Xenopus tropicalis: one gene and its partners. The protein of the gene in region 1 interacts with the protein of each later gene in a pairwise test. Links are inferred from orthologs where the notes say so. Each region holds a gene or a part of one and is shown on either strand. Other genes may lie near its edges.

The links.
Region 2: the proteins of wasl (region 1) and arpc3 interact in binary tests that used the Homo sapiens proteins (3 or more experiments, as listed by UniProt). The two-hybrid records come from large-scale screens. The link is inferred for Xenopus tropicalis from reciprocal best matches to the Homo sapiens genes WASL and ARPC3.
Region 3: the proteins of wasl (region 1) and rnf8 interact in binary tests that used the Homo sapiens proteins (3 or more experiments, as listed by UniProt). The two-hybrid records come from large-scale screens. The link is inferred for Xenopus tropicalis from reciprocal best matches to the Homo sapiens genes WASL and RNF8.

Annotation. Positions count from the first base shown.
Region 1 is NC_030679.2:70,363,222-70,367,277, forward strand, and holds the start of wasl (neural Wiskott-Aldrich syndrome protein), read right to left. Parts: upstream 2,801-4,056; 5' UTR 2,692-2,800; coding exon 2,563-2,691; intron 1-2,562. UniProt on the Homo sapiens protein: Regulates actin polymerization by stimulating the actin-nucleating activity of the Arp2/3 complex. Involved in various processes, such as mitosis and cytokinesis, via its role in the regulation of actin polymerization.
Region 2 is NC_030677.2:162,793,703-162,797,799, reverse strand, and holds the start of arpc3 (actin-related protein 2/3 complex subunit 3), read left to right. Parts: upstream 1-1,297; 5' UTR 1,298-1,504; coding exon 1,505-1,510; intron 1,511-4,097. Other genes in the region: gpn3 (GPN-loop GTPase 3), read right to left, coding at 1-21, 299-407, 1,124-1,171. UniProt on the Homo sapiens protein: Component of the Arp2/3 complex, a multiprotein complex that mediates actin polymerization upon stimulation by nucleation-promoting factor (NPF).
Region 3 is NC_030681.2:2,801,102-2,805,366, reverse strand, and holds the start of rnf8 (E3 ubiquitin-protein ligase RNF8), read right to left. Parts: upstream 2,801-4,265; 5' UTR 2,723-2,800; coding exon 2,636-2,722; intron 1,428-2,635; coding exon 1,299-1,427; intron 442-1,298; coding exon 383-441; coding exon of another isoform or gene 1-382. UniProt on the Homo sapiens protein: E3 ubiquitin-protein ligase that plays a key role in DNA damage signaling via 2 distinct roles: by mediating the 'Lys-63'-linked ubiquitination of histones H2A and H2AX and promoting the recruitment of DNA repair proteins at double-strand breaks (DSBs) sites, and by catalyzing 'Lys-48'-linked ubiquitination to remove target proteins from DNA damage sites.

The DNA.
Region 1 (4,056 bases):
TAAGGGGGAATGTGACCACTGCCTGAAATGAACCATATATAAATTTTGTGAAGAAGGAAAGACTGCAGAAGCCTTTACGGCAGGGATACCCTACCTTTTTTTACCCGTGAGCCACACTCAAATGTAAAAAGGGTTGAGGAGCAACACAAGCATTAAAAAATGTTCATGAGGGTGCCAAATAAGGGCTGTGAATAGCTGTTTGGTAGTCTTTATGTGGACTGGCAGCCTAAATGTGGCTCTGTACAACTGGTTTTTATGCAACCAGAGCTTGCATCCAAGCCAGAAATTCAAAAATAAGCACCTGCTTTGAGGCCACTGGGAGCAATATCCAAGGGCTTGGGGGTGCAACATGTTGCTCCTGAACCACTGGTTGGGGATCACTGCTTTACGGTAACTGTAAAACAATGCTAAAAAGAACAAAACAGACAGGTAACAATACCACCAATCAAAAGCATCCTTCTGAATTTCAGCTGCTTTGGACCTACAATATCCAGCATCCTTCTGAAAGCAAAGCCAACCTAGGAATACTGAGTGTATGAGTTCTTTAAAGGAGAACGAAAGGCAAAGTCACTTGGGGGTGCCAAAATGTTAGGCACTCCCAAGTGACTTAAATCGCCTACCTTGTACCCTGGGATGGTGCCCCTGTTCGGAGAGAACAGCACTAGCCTGGGGTAGCTGCAGCGCTTCCTCCTTGCTGCTTCGCGTGCGCAGTAGAGCGAAAAGCCGAACTTTAACAGAAAAGTCGGCTTTTCACTCTACTGCACATGGGCCGACCACTGGCATTTGCCGGAAAAGGAAGCAGGAAGCGCTTGCTACAGGTACCCCGGGCTGTTTTCTCCTAAAAGGGGCACCAGCCCAGGGTACAAGGTAGGTGATTAAAGTCACTTGGGGATGCCTAACATTTTAAGCAATGGAAAGCTAGCTTTCTGTTCCTACAGTAACAGCACTACAGCATCAGATACTGTCAAAGAAACTAGGAAGCAAATCTTTAAAAGATATAATAAAATATAAGTATAATGAAAAAAAAAGCTCCAAGGATTCATTTAATGTGCCATAACTTTTCACAACAACATTGCTGTAAAAATGTCCCAGCATTATCTTCTATCAGAGAAAATGGAATGAATAAATGTCGGTCAAGCTATCACTATTGTACAATGTGGGGGAGATTCACCAGTATAGTGTGCTTTCCAAAAAACTGAGATTCACTGTGATTATTCTGAGACAAATTTCCATGTAGTATTAACTTCCATACAGCTGCCAAGGCTAACACAACAAACACAAAGTTCTGATACAACTAAACAAACATTTATTCAGTGCTAGAACCTTTGTGGGCAACCTACAGTACCATATGAATGCATCCATATTTAGCAATCGGGCAAGACAAAGACAATAAAAGATGTATCATTACTATTTATTATTAACAAGCATCTATAAACAGCCATACATCAAACATACAAAATTTAGAAACAATTACTGAGTGATACAGGAGGTAAAGAGGGACCTGCTCAGTACAGCTACCGAACTGAACCGAAAAGGGGATATGAGATGCAAAGTGATATATACAGAAAATGCCATTAATTACTATATAAAAACTGAGTTTAATAGTACTTAGTACAGAGTTTTAAAAATTCTTAATAGAGTCTTAAATAAAAAAAAATTCTATACCATTCACATTATATTCACACACTAAAGTCAATTCAGTCAGTAGTCAATGAACCTGTATCTATATATTTGTTTATTTTTAAATGATTAAATGGGCACCACAAAAATATGCTACATACAAACAAGAAAAATATCAAAAGAGTAACAAACATTCATTGTCATTTACTGTAATTACCACACATCAATACTATAGCAGAATATCAAAAAACAGCAAATTCGCACTAATGTATCTTGTACAATACAGCACTTTTAACACATTTAGGAACTTTTGCTGTAGTTGTAGTTATAACTTCCTGTGTCTGGCTAGCTAAGAATGCTGGTTATAGCTGGTCAACAGCAGGGCAATTAGGTTATATGTATATCTGGCTACTGAGGAATTCAAACCAAACCATAATTGTGGTTATCAGTAACTCTAAGGTAATAGTTCAACAAGCAGGAAGGGCTTTAGCTAAAGAAAGGGCAATACCTTGGTTAGTAATGGCACCCCAAGCACTGTGTACAGCCAATGGAAATAGGGCAGAAATATATTAGCCGAGTTGCCCTATGCCTGGTATATACCAAACCAGCAAGCTGCCACTTTCAACCTGTTAAATAAAATGACCATCATTCGGCAGCCACTGACTGCTGGGGGGTAAAAGTAGCAGCTGGACAACCGGAGTACTACAGGTTAGAAAAATATCCTAGAATAAAAAGCAGCCCAGGAGGTTTAGACACGGAGGGCAGTAGCCACCCTTGCCCAGCATACAAGGAAACATAAAATAAGACTTGGCACCCTGCGGCCCTCCAGCTGCTAAACTACAATTCCCTGTACCAATCAGCCTACTAGGGGTGGGAGTTGTAGTCCTAAAACAACTGGCGAACTGCCCCCATTTGAATAAAAGACAACCGGGCCGCACTCACCACACACTTCTTGCCCAGGTAACTAAAGAGACTTTCATTTTCCTGCGCGGTGAGCAGTATGGAGCCGCTGTTTGTCACCCTTTTGGTCTGCCTGTTGTTGTTATTATTAGGGCCGATATTGTTACTCATGATTAGTGTTGGCAGGGAATCTCTCCCTTCGGTCCCTGCAGAGATTCTATAAGTCAGTATCGCCCCTCAGCGCAGGATCAGGGCCGCTTCATATCCCGGCCGCTTGTCGTCGTGTTGTGGGAGGATCCGGATGACCAGGCTGGCGCTGCTACTGCCTGTGCAGGAGGTGCTCGGCCCCGTAAAGCACTGCGCGCCCTTACAGTAAACTAGGAAGTGCTCGGCGCATGCGTGTGCGGAGGCCTTCGCAATTATCATTATTTAGCCCTTACAAAGCTTCCGCCAGGCTTCGGAGGCCGTGCGGAGCCGCAAGACATCATGGGAGAATGTTTACTCTGCAGTGTAGGCAATGCAGTTCTGTTCTGCTGTTCAGATGCGGAATAATGTGGAACAGGGCTGACTCTAGTTAACCAATAGTTTTACTCTTCTTACATTAATTGACTTGCATAATGTAACGTCTTACTGTCTAACTGCTTGTCTATAGGAACAAATATAGCAGCCAATTCGTATTTCCTCCATTCCCCTTGTCCATCTACCTAGTGTTCCTTCTTCCCCTGACAGATACATTTTATTAATAAAGTAGCTTCTATTTATTTTCCTTATATGTTTATATTTTTATCCCTTGGCACTCACATGCTCGCACCTGCGGAATTTTAGAGGGTGAAGACACACAGAGCTACTAGAAGCAGCTACTTGTCACTGCTACAAAACTAGACAGTGCTGACCATTACTGATAATTGTCTCTACTTGTGTTTTAGCAGAGGCAATTCTCTGTATTGTCTAAGGCGGGGTATTTTATGCCATTTAGTAGCCCTGACAAGTAGCTGCTACTAAGTAGCTCTGTGTGTCTGTGTAATTCACTTTAAAATTAACGTTTACCTTTACTCAGTGCTATTCTTAGACAATTTGCAATAAGTCTTAGTTTGTTTTTTGTTTTTTTTTTTTGCAGTTTTTGAATTATTTAGTTTTTTGTTGAGCAGCTCTCCAGTTTGGAATTTCAGAAGCTATCTGGTTTGTAGGGTTCAATTTACCCTAGCAAACAGGTAGTAGTTGCTGCAGGGGTATTGGTGCCATCTGTTCTGGAAAAAATGATAACCCTTCTCATGTATTTATCTTTCTTCCCTAATAATAACATGGGGATCAAGCATGATTTTTACCCCTTGGTGCTGCTTTTCAGAAAAAAATACACCACTTTAGGAAACTTTCTTAAGCAGTGCTGCTCCTCCATCTTACTCGATTTTCGAAAGTGTCCCTTCCATAGACTTGGCAGATTGGACTAAGTAATAGGAAGCAAACCAATGCTTAACCTGACCAAAAACAAAAGCTTTACATACATTAGAATTGTTAATGTCAATCAATGTGATATAT
Region 2 (4,097 bases), on another chromosome or scaffold:
CTTCAATCAGTTCCCGGATATCTTAAAAAAACAAAAACAAAAGATAATTATTTTCACTGTTAGACTAGAGAAAATGCACTTTCATCCGAAGCAATACAAATAGTTATTTCACAGGGGACTGGTTAGACTGTAGAATGCTCTACTTGGTGAAGCAGAGATAACTTTATCAAACAGGACTATGAAACATTTTTATTGGCACACCTGTGTTACATTATTCTATTTGTAATATTTAAGCAAACAGCATTTAATAGTTATTTCTCCACTAAGATAATCTGACATATGTAAGGGAGTGGTTTACCAGCCAATACAGGATAATCAAAATGCTCAGCTGCAGGATCCAGATTAACCACTTGGACAGATCGGTTCAAACTCCCACAGTGCTGCACCATGGTGGAACAATAAGTGCTCTGAAATACAAAGATTAATAATCACCATCTGCCAAAAAGATGTAATTAAAAAAAAATTCTACTGTTGTAATATATTAGACACACATAGGTCTATACATATGCCAAGGCTCCTTTGTGGCATTCTAGACTTGCTCATATGCAATACATAAAATTAGAAAACCTTATGTGATACTGACACCAAAAAAAAAAACCTTACCTATTTTTTATGTACATAAAAACTTACCTATAGGTCATGTTGGTCATATTTTACTGATAGGCTGCTTTTGTAAGGAATTGCTACTTTAAGGGCCTAAACCTGACTATTTTGCCAACCTGACTGTCCCTTTTCAACCTATTGGAATTTACAGTTACAGACTATTGCTGCACAAATATGGCAGCCTCCTTCTAGAGGTACTGGTAACGTAAAAGCATTTTAAAAAGAAAGTATACAGCTCATGCAAAGACAATGTTATAAGCTATTAAAAACAGTTTAATTGTAGGTGTCAGTATATAGTCAGTATATAGTTAGTACTGCGCACATGCCTAGGCATCCTACTGTAATTATTATTTTACTTTCTTTTAATAGCAAACAAGAGAGGTCTCTTCTTCAGGCTCCAGGAAAAACTGGAAAAGGGATCCCGAACTGCAGAAATCTTACACTGTAATACTGCTCTATAGTTACCCATTAAAGGTATGATACAAATCCACAATTTTGAGAGACCAAACCCAGAAATTACCTTTCCGCTGCCGGCGGGCCCCATAACGAGCTGTGCATATCGCGGCATTCTCCTTGCATCAGACTTGAAAACTGCCCAGGTGATCCAATAAGGAGCAAGAACACCTAGTTCCCCACAGTCCCTTTGCAATAAGACATGCCGGAAGCGCCTCCTTGCCTGTAATGCTGCCTAGTAGTCGCGCTGCTGTACTTCCGGGACGCTTTGCTACGGACGCCTCACCTTCCCTGCGATTAAGCTGGCGCCCTCTAGCGGCCATGAGACGCACTAGCTGTGCTAATGTTATAACTTCCTGCTTGCGAAGCCTTGGGTGGGACAGCGGAAGTACAGATACTACAACGTTTGGTCTCCCGGATTCCTTTCAAATATTCAGGGGTGTTAAAGATGCCGGTGAGTTTTTTCTTTTTCCTGCGTATTCTATGCTGCGTTGGAGCAGCCGGATCTCGGGGCAGGAGGCGAACTGGGGTAGAGCAGGGCTTGCCCGCCGGTACCTGCATTACTTAGAGCCAATGGCCATAATGATAAGATTCGGTGTTGCCAATGTCTGGGGCCCAGTGCAGGTACGCTTCCGCGTTAGCATTGCCGGCTGCACCGCGGCCCCCAGAATCCCTACAGCTAAGGGCTCATTGTATGTTCTGTATGTTGCCTTTTAGTCTTATGAACACACCAGCGATTGACTGTATGTGATCTCTCTGGCGCTGGTAAGGCAGAACGCCCCCACTACCGTGCCAGTGCCAGTGCCCACGTATATATATTGAAGGAATTGCCTAGAGATGAAATGAGGGTGGATCGCTGGGCTTTTTCTTTCTACCTGTTTCATGTGATCTTGCGCAAGGATCTCTCATTGCTTCCCCAGCGCTCCTATCATATGTAACACGGTCACAGAACTGCCATACGGTATTATTTTATTTGTGATGGGATAGGGGTGGGCTACAGCTAGTCAGGCCACTACTTGCCCTGCAGATTGTGCAAAAAGGGGAAGAGTGTTAGTCATGCAGGAAGTGGCTGGGGCCGACACACGGGAGGCATTTGCTTAGCTGTCAGCTACATTGCTGCAACCCAACTCATACACTTTAGCAGCCATACACAGTGTTTCATTTTCAGATTGCGAAACGTTCTATAATTAGGTAAATGCATTTTCTTTTATCCTCAGACATAAATATAGCAAGGCCTTCTAGAAAATATGTATATGATGTACTGTTCCATAAATATTATATGACTGCTTAAAAGTTGTGTGTAGATACATGAAAATGAGCTCCTAATTGCATCCAAATCCCCTGGTTTGATGTTAAATACTCTTTAAAAATTCAGATCTGTATAACCCAACTTGCAGACAAATTACTAAGCTACTGCCAAGATCGGTGTCAGTTTTTGGAACATGGCTTCTGTTGTAGAGTTTGGGATGTATTCAGAATAACCAGTAAGGGCTAAAAGGATCCAAAAGCCATCCCTTGTGGAATAAACATGATACACTTCCCCAATTGAGTTTTTAAGACTTCTTTAATGGAAAACTATACCTTCAGAACAAATACTTCACAAACAGATAATTTACTTACTTATAAGTAAATATTACCATCTAACATATTCTAGGGCAGTGCTGTCCAACTTCTGTTGTACCGAGGGCCGGAATTTTTCTTGCCTACATGGTGGAGGGCCGATAATGGAAGACACTTTTGACCACTCCCCTTTTTTAAACCACACCCACTTCAAACTACACCCATGCTATCACAAGAGCTTTTAAGACCATCCCCACATTAATGGTGGCAACACAGCAAAAACCCAATGGTTGGTGCTCACTGAAGGGATATCACCCTTAATTTATATATGAAAGAATTATATTATGTATTATACACTTAAATCGATATGCCTCCTCCTCTTCTGTGGATAGCACAGCAACCCCCCAGCATATAATTACACCCCTTGGGGACCATATAATGACTATATCCAAATGCCAAACTCCAGGAACAAACCCCTGCCAGGTTCACCTTCCACAGGCAGCATAGGGCAGGGAGAGTATGGCACACACAGGCAGCATAGGAAAGGCAGAGTATGGCACGCACTGGCAGCATAGGGAAGGCAGAGTATGGCACACACAGGCAGCATAGGGGAGGCATAGAGCAGGCAGAGTACTGCTTGCCCTACCCCTCCTGTGTGTGCCATACTCTGCCTGCCCTCCCCTGCCTATGTGTGCCATACTATGCTTGCCCTCCCCTGCCTATGTGTGCCATACTATGCCTGCCCTCCCCTGCCTATGTGTGCCATACTATGCTTGCCCTCCCCTTCCTATGTGTGCCATACTATGCTTGCCCTCCCCTGCCTATGTGTGCCATACTATGCCTGCCCCCCCCTGCCTATGTGTGCCATACTATTCCTGCCCACCCCTTCCTATGTGTGCCATACTATTCCTGCCCTCCCCTGCCTATGTGTGCCATACTATGCCTGCCCCCCCTGCCTATGTGTGCCATACTATGCCTGCCCACCCCTGCCTATGTGTGCCATACTATTCCTGCCCTCCCCTGCCTATGTGTGCCATACTATGCTTGCCCTCCCCTGCCTATGTGTGCCATACTATGTTTGCCCTCCCCTGCCTGTATGTGCCATACTATGCCTGCCCCCCCGCCTATGTCTGCCATACTATTCCTGTCCACCCCTGCCTATGTGTGCCATACTATTCCTTCCCACCCCTGCCTATGTGTGCCATACTATGCCTGCCCTATTGCACACACAGGCAGCATACAGTGACACAATGCTGGATGTGTCAGAGGGAATGTCTGAGGTGTGAACAGGGGAACAATGTGGGTGATTACAGCCAGAGCCTGAGGTGTGAACACTGCAGGGGGAAAACAATGAAGGCATTAAAAGGTGTGAACAGTACAGGGGATTACATGATTAAACAATACAGGGGGATTACAGCCTGAATCTGAGGTGTGAGCAATGCAGGGGGCAGTTAATCTCAGTACTGATACCATTTAAAGGT
Region 3 (4,265 bases), on another chromosome or scaffold:
CAGGCTGCTGCGGCACTGGCGCTGGGTGGGGGCCACCGCATCGGCATCCAGAGAGTCATTGAGTTCAGGCTCCACCCCAGGGAGCGTGGGCCCCGCCCTGACCGTAGGCTGCGTGACCAGGGGAGGGGGGCGGGAGGATTTGGTCGAGGCCTCGCCCCCCCTGGAGACCCGGCACAACTTGGACGGACCCTCATTTCCCGAGGCGTCGGCCTCCTCCGCGGTGAATTTGCGCTTGGCCCTCGGGGCTTTGGCCTTGCCGGGCAGCGGCCGCATTACAGAGCCCGACACCTTGTCCAGATGCTCCCGGACCAACCTGTACTCAAACTCAGCACTTTCCGCGTTGGGTGGGGGCACCCCCAGTTGGATGAGGGCCCCCTCGCTCAGGGTGTAGGCCTTGTGGGGCTCCAGTCTCTCCTTGTTCCTCCAAACCCCATTCAGACTCTGGGAAGGGAGAGACATTGCAACAGTGCAGGAAATGAAAGCACCAGACTGGGCTGAATAGGAAAGCAAAGCCCCGCCCAGTCATACCCAGCCCCGCCCAGTCATACCCAGCCCCGCCCAGTCATACCCAGCCCCGCCCAACTGCAGAGCCTGCACCCCCCCAACCACAACCCTACAAATTATACAGAGTCCATTGATTGCTGCTTGGCCGCTATGGGTTACTACTCCTGGGCAATTCAGCAGGAACAGCCCCCTAAGTTTGCCCATAGCCTGTACAGAGAGATACCATAAAACTATGGCACATAGGGATTCCCCTGTACTAAGCACAATTCAGCAGGAACAGCCCCCTAAGTTTGCCCATAGCCTGTACAGAGAGATACCATAAAACTATGGCACATAGGTATTCCCCTGTACTAAGCACAATTCAGCAGGAACAGCCCCCTAAGTTTGCTCATAGCCTGTACAGAGAGATACCATAAAACTATGGCACATAGGGATTCCCCTGTACTAAGCACAATTCAGCAGGAACAGCCCCCTAAGTTTGCTCATAGCCTGTACAGAGAGATACCATAAAACTATGGCACATAGGGATTCCCCTGTACTAAGCACAATTCAGCAGGAACAGCCCCCTAAGTTTGCTCATAGCCTGTACAGAGAGATACCATAAAACTATGGCACATAGGGATTCCCCTGTACTAAGCACAATTCAGCAGGAACAGCCTCCTAAGTTTGCTCATAGCCTGTACAGAGAGATACCATAAAACTATGGCACATAGGGATTCCCCTGTACTAATTACAATTCAGCAGGAACAGCCCCTCACAGACACAGTAGGGGGTGTATCTGGGGGTGCAGGTACCTTGTTATCAGTCACAGTCCACTCGCCCCGGACGTTCTGCTTGAAGAGACAGTGGGTGCGGGAGATCATGAGGGGGCACAGGGTGGGTTTCAGTTGGTAGGTGACCCCCAGGCCTCGGCCCATAGTGACCTGAACACAAACAGAGAAATGAATGAGACGCACAGACCGATATAATCACTGGGGGGTCAATTCTCTGGGCTCCCCCACCCAAACTCATAATGCTCTCTGCACCCCAAGTTTCCCCCAACCAAGGGTCTCTCCCCCAAACCTTCCTCCCCCCCCCCCCACAGTGCCCCCAGGAAACTGCCCCCCCACAGTGCCCCCAGGGAACTGCCCCCCCCCAGTGCCCCCAGGGAACTGCCCCCCCACAGTGCCCCCAGGGAACTGCCCCCCCACAGTGCCCCCAGGGAACAGCCCCCCCCCACACAGTGCCCCCAGGGAACTGCCCCCCCACAGTGCCCCCAGGGAACTGCCCCCCCACAGTGCCCCCAGGGAACTGCCCCCCCACAGTGCCCCCAGGGAACTGCCCCCCCACAGTGCCCCCAGGGAACTGCCCCCCCACAGTGCCCCCAGGGAACTGCCCCCCCCACAGTGCCCCCAGGGAACTGCCCCCCCACAGTGCCCCCAGGGAACTGCCCCCCCCACAGTGCCCCCAGGGAACAGCCCCCCCCCACACAGTGCCCCCAGGGAACAGCCCCCCCCCACACAGTGCCCCCAGGGAACAGCCCCCCCCACACAGTGCCCCCAGGGAACTGCCCCCCCACAGTGCCCCCAGGGAACAGCCCCCCCCCCACACAGTGCCCCCAGGGAACAGCCCCCCCCCCACACAGTGCCCCCAGGGAACAGCCCCCCCCCCCACACAGTGCCCCCAGGGAACTGCCCCCCCACAGTGCCCCCAGGGAACAGCCCCCCCCCCACACAGTGCCCCCAGGGAACAGCCCCCCCCCCACACAGTGCCCCCAGGGAACAGCCCCCCCCCCCACACAGTGCCCCCAGGGAACAGCCCCCCCCCACACACAGTGCCCCCAGGGAACAGCCCCCCCCCACACAGTGCCCCCAGGGAACAGCCCCCCCCCCACACAGTGCCCCCAGGGAACAGCCCCCCCCCACACAGTGCCCCCAGGAAACTGCCCCCCCACAGTGCCCCCAGGGAACAGCCCCCCCCCCACGGAACAGCCCCCCCCACAGTGCCCCCCACGGAACAGCCCCCCCCACAGTGCCCCCCAGGGAACAGCCCCCCCCCCCCACAGCGCCCTCTCTGTTCCTCCAAGAGCCCTGCCCCCCCAAACTCCCCTAAGCCCCCCGGACTGTTTGGCTGCTACAGGCCCCGCCCTCACCTCCTCCCCGTCAGGCAATGGCAGCGACTCCTCGCTCCTCCCGCAGCGCCTCAGGTACCAACACATCCCGGGGCCTCCGTCCGCCATGTCAGGGGCCCGGCCCTTCGCCCCGGAGCAGCCAGATAAACCGAGATGTACAACGGCCGCCTATCCGCACAGCCCCGACCAACCGCAGCCCGAGTTATTCACCCGCCGCCCGCAGGCAGGAACAATCGAGCGCCATCTGTGTAAGGTCTGGGTACGGGTCGCTGTTGGGTCCAAGCGGCGCTTCGGCCTCCGGGGACGTCATGCACACGTGATGCGCCGCGTCCCTCACTCCGAGCGTCTATGAACCGTATAGAAACTGTATATAAACCGTATGTATGAGGTGCGGGAATCCCTCCCGTTACACCGCGCCGCCCGCTCTCACGGATTAGTGATGTTTAATACAATATTCTGCGTTTAAACCGTCCCTTTAGCTCTTGCGCTGACGCCGATCCTGATTGGCCGCTTTGGCGCGACGTCACTGTAATCTCGCGAGAATTCCGACATTTCCCGCCCCGTTATTGGGTTTGTTCAGCTTGGGGTGTTACGGAATAGTATATTCTTAGCAAATTTTCAATTGGTCTTCATTTTGTTTTTATTTTTGTCTACTTGTGTAATTATTTCCCTTCTTCTGACTCTTTGCAGCTTCCAAATGGGGGTCACTGACCCCGGCAGCCAAACCCTATTGCTCTGTGAGGCTCCAGTTTTATTGTTACTTTTCATTATTACATTTCTATTTAGGCCTCTGACCCTATTCATATTCCAGTCTCTCCTTCAAAGCACTGCCTGGTTGCTAAATTCAATTGGACCCTAACAACCAGATAGCTGCCTCTTCCAGCAGTATAAATCTCTCTGCAAGGGCTGATTTATTGAGAAATTCCACCAAAACCCCACTAGCCCCGCCCATCTGTGCCACTTCCTGCCGCCTCCTTTCCCAGGCTGTGCAGGGGGGCGGCGGCACTGTAGGATAGGAACCAATCAGCAGCTAGGCTGACCTGATAGGGAACTGAAGCCTGTCTGTGCTTGTGTGAGTGCAGGGCTGTGATTGGCTCTCCCCCTCCTACTGTGCTTCTGGCAGGGACCGTTAGGACACGCCCACCCCTCATGAAACGCAGACACCAGTGATGTTGCCTATAGCAACCAATCAGCAATTAGAATTTAATGGTCGCCTACAAAAGCAAAGATCTGATTGGTTGCTATGGGCAACGTTACCGATGATGTTGCCCTACACACTATAATAAATATGCCCCAGCTTGGGGTGATTGCGGCAGTTCCAGGTATTTATGTTACAGTCCTTTATTTCCATCCTCAGTGGGTGCGAGCATTGGATCAGTAGCCCCCGCGGGAGACCGTGGCACCATGTGACACTGTGGTCCAATGATAATGCCGCCCTGCCCACTCATCCCTCTTCTTTTATTGGCTCGTGGGCAAAACCTCTCTTTAGTGAGAATCCAAGGGCCACTTACCTGCCTGTAGAACCTTTACAGCTGCCCCCCCCCTCTGGTTTGGGTAAGACTATGGGTGCCCTGGTTCCTTCTCCCCATCTTCCCCCCCCCCCCGCGCCAACAAGCTGACCCTCAATGATTTGCCCCAGGAGGCTGGAGGC